Linked DNA regions of Caenorhabditis elegans. The protein of the gene in region 3 purifies or fractionates together with the protein of the main gene of each other region. This does not show direct contact. Each region holds a gene or a part of one and is shown on either strand. Other genes may lie near its edges.

The links.
Region 1: the proteins of Y48E1B.3 (region 3) and Y39A1A.2 fractionate together in Caenorhabditis elegans (co-fractionation; one large-scale study listed by BioGRID). This does not show direct contact.
Region 2: the proteins of Y48E1B.3 (region 3) and K02E10.6 fractionate together in Caenorhabditis elegans (co-fractionation; one large-scale study listed by BioGRID). This does not show direct contact.

Annotation. Positions count from the first base shown.
Region 1 is NC_003281.10:10,600,879-10,605,436, reverse strand, and holds Y39A1A.2 (Reverse transcriptase domain-containing protein), read left to right. Parts: upstream 1-1,870; 5' UTR 1,871-1,887; coding exon 1,888-1,938; intron 1,939-2,013; exon of another isoform or gene 2,014-2,017; coding exon 2,018-2,128; intron 2,129-2,251; coding exon 2,252-2,367; intron 2,368-2,502; coding exon 2,503-2,731; intron 2,732-3,389; coding exon 3,390-3,497; coding exon of another isoform or gene 3,498-3,526; 3' UTR 3,527-3,543; downstream 3,544-4,558. Other genes in the region: rabx-5 (Rab5 GDP/GTP exchange factor), read right to left, coding at 5-67.
Region 2 is NC_003284.9:2,479,740-2,484,757, forward strand, and holds K02E10.6 (CX domain-containing protein), read right to left. Parts: upstream 3,032-5,018; 5' UTR 2,990-3,031; coding exon 2,874-2,989; intron 2,702-2,873; coding exon 2,521-2,701; intron 2,475-2,520; coding exon 2,359-2,474; intron 1,223-2,358; coding exon 1,030-1,222; 3' UTR 1,016-1,029; downstream 1-1,015. Other genes in the region: K02E10.4 (uncharacterized protein), read left to right, coding at 3,524-3,791, 3,847-3,924, 3,970-4,157, 4,948-5,018.
Region 3 is NC_003280.10:13,564,720-13,570,385, forward strand, and holds the start of Y48E1B.3 (Geranylgeranyl transferase type I subunit beta), read right to left. Parts: upstream 3,253-5,666; 5' UTR 3,248-3,252; coding exon of another isoform or gene 3,199-3,247; intron 3,145-3,198; coding exon of another isoform or gene 3,033-3,144; intron 69-3,032; coding exon of another isoform or gene 1-68. Other genes in the region: mrpl-37 (Large ribosomal subunit protein mL37), read right to left, coding at 3,498-3,622, 4,628-4,751.

The DNA.
Region 1 (4,558 bases), on a different chromosome or scaffold from region 3:
TCACTAAATCATTAGCTTTTAAATGCATTTTTGCTTTCTTGTCCTCCTCGCCATGCTTATCTGACATTACTTTGTGGGGTGTTTGAAACTGAAAAATTTTTAATTTTTTCATGAAGAAAAAAACAATTTTAAAAATGAGAATTAAGGGTCGAAGAAAATATAAAACTACAGTTCAAATTAAAGAAAAAATAATTTTAACACAATTATTTTTCGAAAAATCACACAAAAATTGAAAATTTCGAAAAAAACTGACTTTAGAGATTTTGCGAAAGCTTATTAATTATTTTTTAAAAAATCTGATGTTTCAGATTAAAAAAAAATTAAAATTAGTTGAAAAATTGGATTTTTTTGATTTTCCAATTTTTTTCAATTGTATTTATTTTAAAAGTAAATTAAAAAAAACATTTTTTCCTTAAAATTTATAAATTATCTGAAATTTCTGAAGCTGAATTTCTAATCTAAATTTGAATTGAAGGAAAATGATAATAATAAATTCTAGACTAATAAAACATTACATCTTCGGCAAAAAAAATAAATTAAAGAGGTTTTTGAGCCAATTTATTTTAAATTATCCAACTTTTCAGTCCAATTTTCAGTGAAAATTCAATTTTTAATCAAATCAAGTTTTTGGAAGTAAAAAAAAATAAATTTAAACATAAAATCTAGAATTTCTGTCAATTTTTAATTAAAAATCGACCAAAAACCAAGAAAAATGGACCCAGGAGGGTTCTATTGGTGCTAAAGTTGTCCCCGTCTGGCAGGGAAACTCAAGCCGAAGATGGAGGAGGGCTCTACGCGGTCACAAGTTCGCTTCTCTGCGTCTTCACACTCTCATCCTCGATTACTCAGTCTTCATGGAAGCTCCGCCTCCATCGTGCTTTGAAAGCTGGAAACAGCTGCTCGTTCTGAAAAGATCGAGAGGACATACTCGGAAATCCGATTTTTTCGGAAATTGGTTTTCAGAGCGTGCCACCAGCCATGAACTTTTGAATACATACACAATCTGGGGGAATTGTTAGAACGAATACAATGAAAATTTCCTGGAAAATGGGGATTTCCATGTGGATCAATCAAAATTTTGAAGAAAAAAAGCTAGTTTTCGAAGAAATTTTTTGTTTTTGTGTTTGCCCATCAAATTCAACTTATTTCGGAGTTTCCACCAAATTTTACAGGATTTTTCTTTCAAATTTGCAAAAAAAAGTTACATTTTTTAGCAAAAAACTATTTTTTGTTTAAATTGTTCTGCGCATTTTTTAAATCTTATTTTAGAGATTTTTTCTCGGATTACAAAATTGATTTATTACGGTAACACAAAATTCTGAGAATGCGTATTACACAGAACATCTGCCGCGCAAAATATCTCGAAGCGAAAACTACGGTAGTTCTTTAAATGACTACAGTAGCACTTGTGTCGATTTACGGGCTAGATTTTTGTAATGAATTTATTTATCGATAGAACATTTTTTTAAAAAGCAAAAAAATGAGACTATTATCCGAAGAAATATTCGAAAAGAAATTCATATCAAAAAATCGAAAAAAACTAATTTTTCGATATGAATTTGTTTTCAAATATTTCATCGGATAATAGTCTCATTTTTTTGCTTTTTAAATAAATGTTCTATCGATAAATAAATTCATTACAAAAATCGAGCCCGTAAATCGACACAAGTGCTACTGTAGTCATTTAAAGAACTACCGTAGTTTTCGCTTCGAGATATTTTGCGAGTCAGATGTTCTGTGTAATACGCATTCTCAGAATTTTTTAATACCCGTAAAAATTCCTAAAAATAATTACGTGGGGATTTATCGATTAAAAAAATTCAAAACTTTTGACGTGGTGTTTTTAAGTGAAAAACCGTAAAATTGAATTATTTCAATATTTTCAAAATGAGCAGCGAAGGATCGATTGTTCCTATCAAACTTGCACAACGATTTATTGTAAGAATTTTTTTTTAATTTATTGATTTTTCCGCAATTTTCCAACCAAAAAACTAGTATTTAATCGATTTTCTTTCAGCACGTTATCGATTTTCATGCGGATCCTGTGACTTGTATCAGTGCGTCTTCTGGAACCGTTTCCTACGATTCAGTGACGTCACCAAAATACCCTCAAAATGACGCAATTCTCGTAAGTTTTTTGGGGTTTTTATTAGGACAACGCGCTCTATTGATAACCTGGGAGTGAATCCTGAGTGGAAAATGATATTAATTTAAAGGCGCATGCACTTAGAATACAGTAGACAATTTTCAGTGTGGCCAACAACCGCCTCCCCCTCCTCACAAATCGACAATTAAAACCGTATTCAAGAAGGAGCTCATGGAAATCCCGATTCCAGTGGATATTGAGATGTTTCGTGCGATTCAAAAGTTAGTCAAAGATGGCCGCGGAAGAGAAAACTCGGCCACGGGGAATCAATTTTGAAAAGCGAAAAGCGTTAGGCTTCGTCGCAAGACTTCGAAAACGACAGTAACCCAATTATTTTACAATTCAATATTTCCCAGAGAACAAGATGCAAGAAAATACGCGTGCATCAAAAACTCGAAAAATGTGAATGGTTTTGCGGAAGCCGGAAAAGAAGTTGAATCGGCGTTCAAAGAATGCTTGAAGAATTTCAAGAAGCCTAAGAATGATCCAACGAGAAAAGCGGTGACCAGTGTCTCAATCGAGTTTCCGTCGGGGATCTCTGATCCTGTTCATAAGCCGAAGGATATTCATAAAGTTCATTTTAAAGTATGCCTACGGCCTATTGCCAGAGCATCTCGGAAAATTTCTCGGAACCCGGAAGATATAGGGCGCCGCAAAACACTATCTAACTCATCTATTTATTATTTTAACTTAATTAAAATAATAAACAGGCGAGCGTTACAAAGTGTTTTGAGGCGCCATATATCTTCAGAATCAGGGGAGGTCATTTTAATTTCAAGAAATTCAGAATTTTCAGTGTGGGAAAATGTATCGATAAAAATGATTTTAATATGGCTTATACATATTTTGGCGGTTCTTCGAATCCATTTTAGACGTTCGAAAAATATTGAATTTCAGAGGTTTTACACATCATTTTGTGGCCCGATTTTCTTGTTTTTAAAGTCAAGAAATTTCTTTAAATTTGGCTCACAAAATGATGTGTAAAACCTCTGAAATTCAATATTTTTCGAACGTCTAAAATGGATTCGAAGAACCGCCAAAATATGTATAAGCCATATTAAAATCATTTTTAACGATACATTTTTACACACTGAAAATTCTGAATTTCTTGAAATTTCATAGAATCAAAATTTTCAGAATTCCGATAATTTCAAGTCAAAATTGGTTCACAGGAACATAGGTAGATAGGCATGATATAGCCTACCTACCTATGTGCCTGCGAACTTTACCCAAGAATTTTCAGGCAATATCCGAACGCCTATCAACTCGTATTCTGGAGAAGTTGGGATACCCTATCGATGGTCACCAACAATGCCAAATCGCGTCCAAAATGTGCCTCAATTCACCATAAAATTTGTAACTCAAGAGGCTTTTGAATAAAAAAAATTTTTTTAATTTTTTTTCTTCAGTTTTTGAAATTTCTGGATTAATTTCTGGAGAAAATCGACAATTCAGGGGGAAAAATCTTTTTTTTTTTAATTTCCGAGTTATTTCTAATTTTCCTAACAGTTTTGACTCAATTTCACTGGAGATCTGCTTCAAAATTGCACAAAAGTGGAGAATAACTGGAATTTGAGTTTTTTCCAGCTTTTCAGGAAAAAAAAAATGGAAAACCAAGTTTTCCTTGATTTTTGAGATTTAGTCCATCAAAAAAGGAAAAAATTGCGAAATTTCCCGATTTTTCAGGCTTTTTTAAAAGGTTTTTCGGCAAAAACATCAAAAAATGGTTCACAATTTGAAAAAAATTCAGAAAAAAAAGTTTTATATATTTTAAGTCTACTTCTGACGCAGGAATTCAGAAATAGACAAGAAAATTGTCAATGACTCAAATAATCCTAGAATTTAGAAGAAAATCCTAGAATTTAGAAGAAAATCCCGATTTTTTCGTAGTTTTAGAGAAATTTTATAAAAATCCTGGTTTTAACGAAATATTTTTGGATTTTCTTGGTTTTTTTAATTATAAAATAGTAGCTTTAGATTTGAATCCGTCTCAAAATGAGACTTTTAAGCTTTTACTACTGAAATTTCACGAAAAAAAACCCCGTTTTTCTTAACTTTTCGCTATTATCTCAGTTTTTTATTCCTTGCAGATTTTCAGACTTAATCCCTCGAACTAATCCCTTCCTTTTAATTAAACTAAGAGGAAGGAAAAAAAAACGCCGCGGGAGGAGTTTTTATGTGTCACTGCTTCCTCTTCTTCAAGCTCTTTCGCATTTATTGGAATCGGATTATGCACGGAAATGAATAGGAAATCAAGTACGAATATATTGGAGTTTTGACGTTAATATACTCGGGGATTATTCCTGAGAATTCGGGATCAAAGTACGATAAAATTGAAGTTCTGAAGGGAAAAGTAATGATTTTTGGTTTTTAGTGAAGAAAACAGAAAAATTAAAGAATTATAAGTGTAAT
Region 2 (5,018 bases), on a different chromosome or scaffold from region 3:
TTTATCGAAACTCAGTATTAAAAAAATGAACAATGGAATACAACATTTTGTATTTAATGCATCAAAAACTACTCAAAATATTATTACAACCTTTGCATTTCTATATAAAAACTTCTAAAGAACTATACTAATTTGACGACATTGGTGAAAATTGATGCTCTCAAGTTTTCTTCAAATTTCATGATATATTTTTATTTTAGCAACTATACTTCCTTTGACAAGAAAAGCCAATGGAATATATAAAACAAAAGAATGAGAAAAACACACACAAAAACGTGGCTTGTTTTGTGCACTGTTGCGAGCAAAATTAGATTTTCTTGGATTGGGGTGTCACTTTGGCACGTCTTGGTTCCGAAAAGTCTAGAAATGTTTTTTTTTTCAAATCACCAAGTGATATGGAATACTTAGGTAGATGTGAATTTGTGATTTGACTGGTGTTTGATATTTGAGAAGTTTGATCAAAAAAAGTGTTGAGAATTGTAAAGCAAAAAACAATGAAAAAAAAAACAAAAATGCTCAAAAAATACACTAGTGTCCTAATTGTTTTGTTTGAGCTGACTAGTGAGTTGATGTGAGCTGCTGAGAATTCAGAAGTGTGGATGTGCGAGACGAAGGTTGGCCAAGTAATTATTCACGTTTTGAGCGTAGGACATTTCCAATGAATTTCGACATGTGTTCTAGGCATTAGAAAATTCTATAAACTTTGGCGGGAAAAGTCACATCTGTAATCTGGGAAAAACAGAGGTTCCGCAACCGAAAAAGTCACGTTTTGCATATTAGAGTTTGAAAGGTTAGAAAAATTTGTGTAGGCTCAGAAATTCAGCAAGATTTGTCGTGTTTTTTTTTCGCTGCTCAAAAAAATAATACTACATTGTGCAGAAAAATAGACCAAAAGTATGCATCAAGCTTTTCCGTCGATTGTTTTGATGATTGCCTCTTGAAAGAATGGAAAGCTGCCGCATTTTCAAGGAAGCATTCTTATTTATGTGCCGGTGGTTATCTGTCATTCAGGCATAATTTCATACAAATTTATGCAGAGTTGAAAATTGAGATTAGGAGTATGGCAATTAGAGTGAGAGAAGATGATGATGATGATGCAGAGTTATGACGCCATGGATCTTGCCAAGGGTACTTTGGGGGTTTCGGTGGCTCGTCATGACGCCCGATTTGATCAATTTTGCAGCAATTCAGGCCACAGCAGTACTCTTGATATCGTTGGCACCTGAAATTGTATAATTGAAAAATCACAAGCTTCCAGAACACATTGTTTTCTAAGTTTCAAATTTTCTACAATTTTTCGAAATTTTTAACTGAAAGCAATGCCACACTCTAAAACTGAACAGCAATTCTTTTTTTTGAACGTATAGACCCAACAAAAGCTTACAAAAACGAACTTCGTAACGAAACTTTGCAAAAATTTTCCAAATTATTTGTTTTTATTGCGGTTCAATTACGGTACATTTGAAACTATATGTAGGTATTCAAAACTGACAAAAATTAGTCACATATTGACTTTAAATGTACCTCAATTAACAAAATAGCGTTAGATAAACGACCAAAATATGCAAAAACTGATGATAATTCAAATTAGTCATTTTCGGACTGCTGCGACGCGGAAAAGTCCGCTAAAATTGAGCGATTTTTTTTTCTGAAATTTTGCACTGCCATTGAAATTTTTTAAAAACAAACTTTGAATTGTTTCATTACGAAATTTGTTTACTTGAGCACATTTCAGGTCTATACATTCAAAATCGTAAAGATCGTGGCGAGACCCACTGATAAAAACAACGTGTGCCTTTAAACTGATGTGCAATTTTTTTTTGAATTCACGTTAGCTTCAGCGATCCAAATTATTATTAATTAATAATAATTTTATTCGTGAAGGTTGTAATATTTTAAAATGTTAATTACACATGTTTTGCATGTTTTACATTATAGTGTGGAAATTGCTTTAAAACAGGCCTAGGGCACCACATTGGCCAAATAGCGTAGTAAAAAAAATTCAAAAAAATTTTCTAAATTTTATACGATTTTTGATAATTGGAACAATCACAGTTTGTGCTACTTTTATGGATGTCATCGATCAAAAAAATATTTGAAGGGTCTCGAACACACCACAGGGATTTATGATAACTGTTTTTTTCTTATAAGTGTCAAATTGTTTATGAGATTGAGTATTTGGGTAACCCTGATTATATTGGAAAAGTGTTAAACTTTCCAGCACTTTTTGTGATTGCTTGTGATTGAGTTGAACAACGAGATGCCACTAAAAACTTGGCAAACGTCTTTTCTTATCATCGTTAGGATAATATTATGTCGAAAATTCCTTTTCTCTCTGAATACGCAATGAAAACATACTGATAAATGATATCGAATATCGGCATGTTGTCCTCTTCGTAGAAAAGATGTTGTCGTTCGGTCTCATTCATACGGTATGCGCACGTATCCCGCGTGGCAAGGTAATAATAATTGTCCTGTAATTTTAGTATATCGATGAGAGTTTCAAGGACAATAACAAACCATATAATAATAACGATCGCCTAACCAATAATTTCGGCGAGTCAAATAGATGAACGAACGGTCATTGTACATTTTGATTTTGAAGATGTTGAAGCCGTCGAGAATGGTGAGCATGAAGATTCGGTAGACTTCATCGTTTATTGCAGGATCGCCATCAGTGGCGTAACCTGCATTCAAGCTCCTGAAAGTTGTAAAGTGTTTTTTTAAAATGGAATCAAAAAAGATAACTTGAAATGATAAAAATATTTTATTAGTAACTCAAATAGATTTTCCAAGCTCTAAGAATGTTATTTTAAACATCTATAGAGATCAGTTTTTCACCTCTATCAATCCAAAAAATGTTAGTATTTTACCTGGTTCGCTGTGAAAAATAACTGACAGGACGCGGTTCTTCTTTCCTGTTGGGCAACCAATTTTCTTCCGGACAAACTTGCACTGTTAAAAGCACGCACAAAGTAAGAATCAGCATTGAGAAGCATACATCAGTATAGTTGTCCACACCGCTTGAGCAAACAACAATAGATCGATATGCGGTTCTGTCGCCCCCGACGCAATGTGTGTACCTGCCATGCATGCGACCTCAGGTGACTCACGAAATTAGAGAAACATAGAAAGCTAACAAGGTATATAGTTTGTTGCGTCCGGAAATTATGGTTAGGGTATGAGAAATATGACTCATACTCTCACTTGGATTCTGATTTATTTCGCCCTACTAAAATTGCGAGGAATTCAAATTTGAAAAATGACGTCATGCGGAAGTTGCGGTTGTTGTAGATCAAACGTGTATACTCTGGAAATTTCACATTGGATCCTTTTAAGTGTCAGATCAGAATATTTTCGGTCCACCATATGATCACTGCATCGTTTTTCATAGCTTCCATTTTTCAATCCGAGACATTTTGCCGAATTAGTGAATGGAACATTCTTCAGATTGGAAACATCTTCAAAAAAACTTTCGATTATGATACGATAACGATAGGCGGAAAAGTGAAGAGAATGAGAGATGCAGATATGTGATAATTTCTACTTATCTTCTCTTGTGATTCCTCCCGAAAAAGGAGATGCATCCGTAAAAGAGGTTAATCGACTACACGTCCTTAACCCATCCTTCTTATTTCTATCCATTTTCCCTCTTCATTTTCCCGACAGAGTACCGCTCCCTTCAACTACCCCATATTATCACTCAAACCCATCTACAACATTTTTCATGATTCCTACAACGACTTTCGTTTCTTGTTACTTTCTAATTTTGTTAGTCTATTTTGCATCAGGTTAGCAGTTTGTGATGTTTGAACACCATTTAATTAGCTTAGAGTTTGTTTTTAGCACAAGCTCCAACCTGCCCAAATGGCCAACTACCAAAGTTAGATTCATCGTTAAGACCTCTACAATGTTTGCCAGGTAGTTGTTATTTTCAGTTCACATCCAATATAACATACTTGTTTTCAGGCACTTCACAACACTTAATTTGTGGTGCTAATCATAACTGTTTCTTTACCGGATTGAATTATATGTGCTGCCCGTCAAATGAGCCATCCATAGATAATCAACCGAGTTGTCCATACCCAAAGCTAACAGTTTTGGATCCACATGGTTTGCCAATGAAATGTAGTCAGATAGCCAGAAGTTGCCCGGGGGTAAGTTAGAAACAAGACACATCATTATTAAATGTGTTTCAATTAGTTTATCCAATTTTTGATCTCTTATACATACAAGTTTCTAAAATAGTGAGACAAACTATATGAATATTAAAAAGCCGTGAACAGCGGAATACTTGATTTCCTTGGTTCGTGATAACTTTTCGAATGTTTTAATACTGGGTATAATTAAATTATGGACTTAAAACGTCTTTAAATGAGCGAACTTCGTAATGAAAGTTTTCAAAATATTTTAAACTAAAAAAAATGTTTTTATGGCGGTTCAAAGTTTCGAAGAAAGGTTTCAGGTTAGTCAGTTTTGGTCATTTATCAGGTTTAAATGTGATAACAAATAACAATTATAAATAAATCAGTAAAATTGACTTGGAGCCGCTGGCACACGAAAAAGTGGCTGAACTTTGAGATTGTAGAGGGAATTAGGTAATTTATGTAAATAAATTTTGTGCCGGCATAAAAAAGTTTTGACATTTTTCTGAGAAGTTTCACTACGAAATTTGTTTATTTAAATTGTTTTTTCTATGAAAAATCGTCTAAAAGCTGAAAATTAAAAAAAAAATTACCATATTTTCTGCAAAAAAAATTAAAGAAAAACACTATTTTCCATACAAAAATGGTGAGATTTACTTTTTAGACACGTTTTACAACAAAAATATTTTTTTCTCAATTTTGGAAGTTTTCCTGAAAGTTTTCCTGGGTCGCAAATTTACCCCACATCGACCTATTTATCAGTCCCCCCTCCCCCCCCCCCCACAAATTGACTGTGTTATAGGAGAACATGCACTGTGCCGATGTTGGACTTGGATATATCTGTTGCGAAGACCCGTCTTTCCAAAGAAAGCA
Region 3 (5,666 bases):
GAGTCAGGAGATTGTCGAGCTCGCCGAGCAAATCCAGTGAAGAGATTGCGAATAGGAAGATTGTGTTTCTGGAAAAAATTTGAATTTTTTTTGTGAAATTTTTGAGAAATTTTGGGAGAAAATTGAGCATTTTTAGCTTGAAAAATCTCAAAATTTCAATTGTTTAAAGCTGTTTTTTGGCATTTTTCTAGAATTTTCTCGGAAGAAAATTGCCCATTTTTAGCTTGAAAATTGTAATTTTAAATTAATTTTGTGAAAAATCCGGGAATTTCAGTTTAATTTTGAGACATTTTGGGAGAAAATTGAGCATTTTTAGCTCAAAAATCTCAAAATTTCAACTTTTCTAGTTTTTTCAACTAATTTTTTAAAATAGTTTGAAAAATTGAAGAAAAAAAAATCGCATTTTTTGAAAATTGTTTTTTTTTTCGATTTTTCAAACTATTTCTGGAGAAAAAGCCTTCAGAACTGTGTTATTACACATTCGTGAAAAAATTCTCCCTAATAAAAATTTCCACGAATGTGTAATAATTTTTAAGCAATTTTTCAACAAAAAAAAACCATCAGAATTGTGTTATTACACATTCGTGGAAAAATTTCCACGAATGTGTAATAAGGTTTTTGCAATTTTTCAAGCCATTTTCTGCCAATTTTGAACGGTTATTTTCAAAATTTTGACAATTTTCTAGTTTTTTCTGGGAGTTAAAAAAAAAGATGGGAATTTCCAATTTTTTTTTTTTAAATCCCAGAGAATTGAATTTTTAGAGGTATCTTTCGACATTTTTCTAAATTTTTAGAACTAATTTCACAATTTTATTTGAAAAAAAAAAACTTTTTCTCAATTTTTTGAATTTTAATTTTTTAAAAGCTGTTCTCTTTAAACTTTTTAACAAGAAAAAATCGAAAAAAATTGGATTTTTAATTTTAAAAAATTGGAAAATCAATATTTTCTAATTTTTTTCCATTTTTCCATCAAAATTTCGCATTTTTTTTCAAATTTTCCTAATTAAATTTTTTTTTTCTAAATTTTCCATATTCCAATCGATTTTTATATGTAAAAATTGACTTTATACGGTTTTTTTCTCAATAAAATTGAATTTAAAAAATATATATAGCTTAAAATTGGATGTTTAATTTAAAAAAACTGAAAAATCAATATTTTCTAATTTTTGAATTTTTCCATCAAAATTTCGCAATTTTTTTTAATTTAGGGGAAAAATTGGTGTTTTTTGGGGGAATTTTAGGGGAAAATATCGGAGTTTTTGTGAAACTTTTTTGAGAAAACTGGGAGTCAATCGAGCATTTTTAGCTTGAAATTTGTAATTTTAAATTAATTTTGTGAAAAATATGAAAAAAAAAAAAACATTTTCGAATTTTTCAGAGTAGTTTAGGGTCATTTTCATAGAATTTTTTGAAATTTTTTAAATTAAAATCAGAGGAAATTGGTGAAAAATTTTTTTTTCCAATTTTTTAAAGATAATTTTAGAAAAAAAAATGGAATTTTTCAATTAAAATAGTGATTTCCTGAAAATTTGATAATTTTAGATTAGAAAAGTTGGAGAAAATAATTTTTTTTAGGATTTTATTCAGTCAAAATTAAAAAAAAAACGTACAATTCTGAACTATTGTGTTTTTTTTTTGGAATAAACTTTGAATTTCTACGAAAATTGTAATTTTAAATTAATTTTTTTTTTTTGGAATTTTCAGAGCGCTAATTTTACTATTTTATTAGCAAATTTTCCCAATTTTTGAAATTTTTTGAAAAATTTAATTTTCAACTCTAAAAAATTGAAAAATTAGTAGATTTTCTAATTTTTTAACAATAGCAGACAATTTTTTCAACAAAAAAAATTCAAATTTCAGAAATAATTATTTTTCCGCAATTTTTCAAATTCCAAACAGTTTTTTATACGTAAAAAATGATTTTTCGTTAACGAGATTAATATTTTTTGATATTAAAAGTTGAAAAATTAGCCAAAAATTTGAAGGTTTTTACAATTTTTTGCTTAAAAATTCGACTTTTAACTATAAAGAACTGAAAAATCAATAATTCCAAATGTTTTGAATTTCCGAAATTTCAGAAATCATTTTTTTTTCTAATGTGTGTTTAAATTTCAATCGGTTTTTTTTCTCAAGAAAATTGAATTTTTTGCCACAATTTCACAAATTTCCAGCCAAAATATATCTTAAAAATTGAAATTTTAACTTAAAAAAGAATTAAAAAATTAATATTTTCTAATTTTTTGAATTTTTCCATCTGCGGGGAATTTTTTTTTAAATTTTAATTCAAACTTTTTAAAAATTGGGCGAAAAATTGCCAGTTTTTAGCTTTGAAAAAATTGTAATTTTAAATTAATTTTGTGAAAAATCCGGAGAATCCAATTTTTAGAAGTATTTTTCGAATTTTAGGTTAATTTTTTAGTAGGTTTCAACAATTCTATAGCGCGTAAAAATTGGATTTTTAGTCTTAAAAAATTCAAAAGTTCAAAAATCAATATTTTCTGATTTTTTGAACTTTTTTATAGATTTTGTGAATTTTCCGAAATAGCTTTTTTTCTAAATTTTCTATATTCCAATCGATTTTTTAAAAGCTGTTTTCTTAAACTTTTTAACAAGAAAAAATCGAAAAAAATTGGATTTTTAATTTTAAAAAAACTGAAAAATCAATATTTTCTAATTTTTGAATTTTTCCATCAAAATTTCGCAAATTTTTTATAGATTTTGTGAATTTTCCGAAATAGTTTTTTTGTTATTACACGTTTTTTTTTAATTTTCCATATTCCAATCGATTTTTATATGTAAAAATTGACTTTATACGGTTTTTTTCTCAATAAAATTGAATTTTTTAAAAACAATTTCACAAATTTTCAGCCAAAAAATAGCTTAAAATTGGATTTTTAATTTAAAAAAAAAATGAAAAATCAATATTTTCTAATTTTTGAATTTTTCCATAAAAATTTCGCAATTTTTTCAAATTTCTGGAATTTTAACTGGAATTTTATCAATTTTCTTCAATTTTTTTCTAATCTCCTCACCGACTAGTCTCCAACGTATTATACGGCTGTGGGAATACGTTCAAGTGTCGAATCAAAAAACCAATGTGCTTCTTAAATTCAAAAGTCTGTGTCTGATCTCCTGATTCGGCGGCTGAAAATACGGAAATTCAACGGGGGCCAAAAGCTTAAAAATCCAAAAAAAAACCTTTTCGTGCAAATTCTAGCAATTGATCTTCCGTGCTGATATCGCACATTTAGGCTGAAAATTTTGGGCATTTTTCGGGGGGAAAAGCTGGGAAAAACTGGAAAATTAGGTAGAAAATTGGCTAAAAACCAATAATTTCGAGGAAAAAATCACAAAAAATCATTAAAAAATCAATACAATTTCAAAAAAAAATCCGAGAAAAAAACAACCAAAAAAACAATGAAAAACAGTAGCTACCTATTAAAAAATTGAAAAAAAAATCAAAATTTCTTTGAAAAAAAAAGGATTTAGAGCCCGTGTCAATGAGCATGTGGTGCTCCAAATCCGAGCATCAAGGCGACAAATTTGTGAAAAACGGTCATATCGAGCTTCTCCACAGTGTCCATTTGCTCATAGTAGGGCGTTGGCTTGTAGAGACGGAGACCTGCAAGAGAAAATTGGTGTTTTTGGGAAAAAATTGGGGTTTTTAGGGGAATTTTAGGGTAAAAATTGGGGTTTTTAGAGGGAATTTTGGGGAGAAAAATGGATTTTTAGGGGAATTTTAGGGGAAAATATCGGGGTTTTTTAGAGGAAATTCAGGGTAAAAATTGGGTTTTTTATAGGGAATTTTAGGTAAAAAATTGGTGTTTTTTGGGGGAATTTTATGTGAAAAATGGGTATTTTCAGGGGAATTTTAAAGTAAAAATTGTATTTTTTATAGGGAATTTTAGGGGAAAAATTGGTGTTTTTTAGGGGAATTTTAGGGTAAAAATTGAGTTTTTTGGAGATTTTTAGGGGAATTTTAAGGTAAAAATTTGGGGGTTTACAGGGGGGAATTTTGAGGGAATTTTATGTGAAAAATGGGTATTTTCAGGGGAAATTGAGCGAAAAATTGGATTTTTTATGGGAATTTTAGGGTAAAAATTGGGGTTTTTAGAGGGAATTTTGGGGAAAAAAATGGGTTTTTTAGGGGAATTTTAGGGTAAAAATTAGGGTTTTTTGGGGGAATTTTAAGGTAAAAAATTGGGTTTTTTAAAAGGAATATTTTAAGGGAAAAACTGGATTTTTAGAGGGATTTTTAAGGAAAAAATTGGATTTTTTGGGGGAATTTTAGGGTAAAAATTGGGGTTTTTAGAGGGAATTTTGGGGAGAAAAATTAATTTTTTAGGGGAATTTTAGGGGAAAATATCGGGGTTTTTTAGAGGAAATTCAGGGTAAAAATTGAATTTTTTGGAACATTTTTTGGTCATTTTTCTGATCCGGAGAAAAATATGAAGAAATTCAGAGCTTTTTTTTTCAATTTTAAATTTAAACTTTAAAAATTGAAAAAAATTTTAGTTATTACACATTCGTGGAATTTTTTGGGAGAAAATTTCCACGGATGTGTAATAACAAAAAATTGGATTTTATGGGATTTTTTCCCTTTTTGTTTTTTTTTGTAAAAACCAACCCTTCTCGATCCACACAATATTCTTTTCGTCATTATTTCCAGCTTCTGATGTTGGTTTCAGTGTGTTAAGCTGCATGGCAACCAAATCAAGACGTCCGTTCACCAATTGTACTCCACGGACAAGCTAAAAATTAGGAAATTTTTGGGAAAAACCCAGTAATTTTTTGAGAAATTTTAAAATTCAAGTTTTGTCAGAAATGTGTGGGTTTTTATTAAATTAAAATAAAATTTAATTTTAATAAAAACATTTTTTAATAAATCTGAAATTTTCGTGTTTTTTTTTTCAATTTTTTTTTTCGTAAAAATTGAAAAATTGAAAAACACCGGAAAATCTGAAATTTCCGGGGTTTCTGAGTCTTTTATTCTATTTTTTTACAGCAAAACAAACAAAAAAAATCCGTATTTTTTTCCGGATTTTTTTTTTCGTAAAAAACTGAAATTTTCAAAATTTTCGTTTTTTTTCCCCGAATTTTGTAGGGAAAAAACAACGGAAAAATTGATGAGCAATTCTGTTTTTTTTTTCGGAAAACACACCGAAAAATCTAAAATTTTTGTGTTTTCCGGTTTTTTTTTTCGGAAAATTTACGGAAAAACGCTGAAAATTAGAAATTTTCTTGTTTTTTCTGGTTTTATTTCGATTTTTTGATGAAAAACTCGGAAACATCGTGAAAATTAAAAAATTTCAGAGTTTTCCGGGTTTTTATCTGTTTTTAGTTTCGAAAAAATTCAGGAGAAAATTCGAAACATTTTCGCTTTCAATTTTTAATTTTTTTCGATTTTTCTGAAATTTTCTCAACAAAAAAAACACCTTTTTCAGCTCAAAATGTACATTTTTTCACACAATTTTCTCCGAAATTCCACCGGTTTCTTTAGGTTTTTTTCAATTTTTTTATGCGGAAAAAATTGAAAAATCTGGAATCTTTTAGGTTTTTTCATATTTTCTCAGATTTTTTTGTTGAAAAATGAAAAAAAAATGAATTTTTGTCGAATTTTGTTGAAAAAACAACGGAAAAATCGAATTTTGTTTTTCAAATTTCAC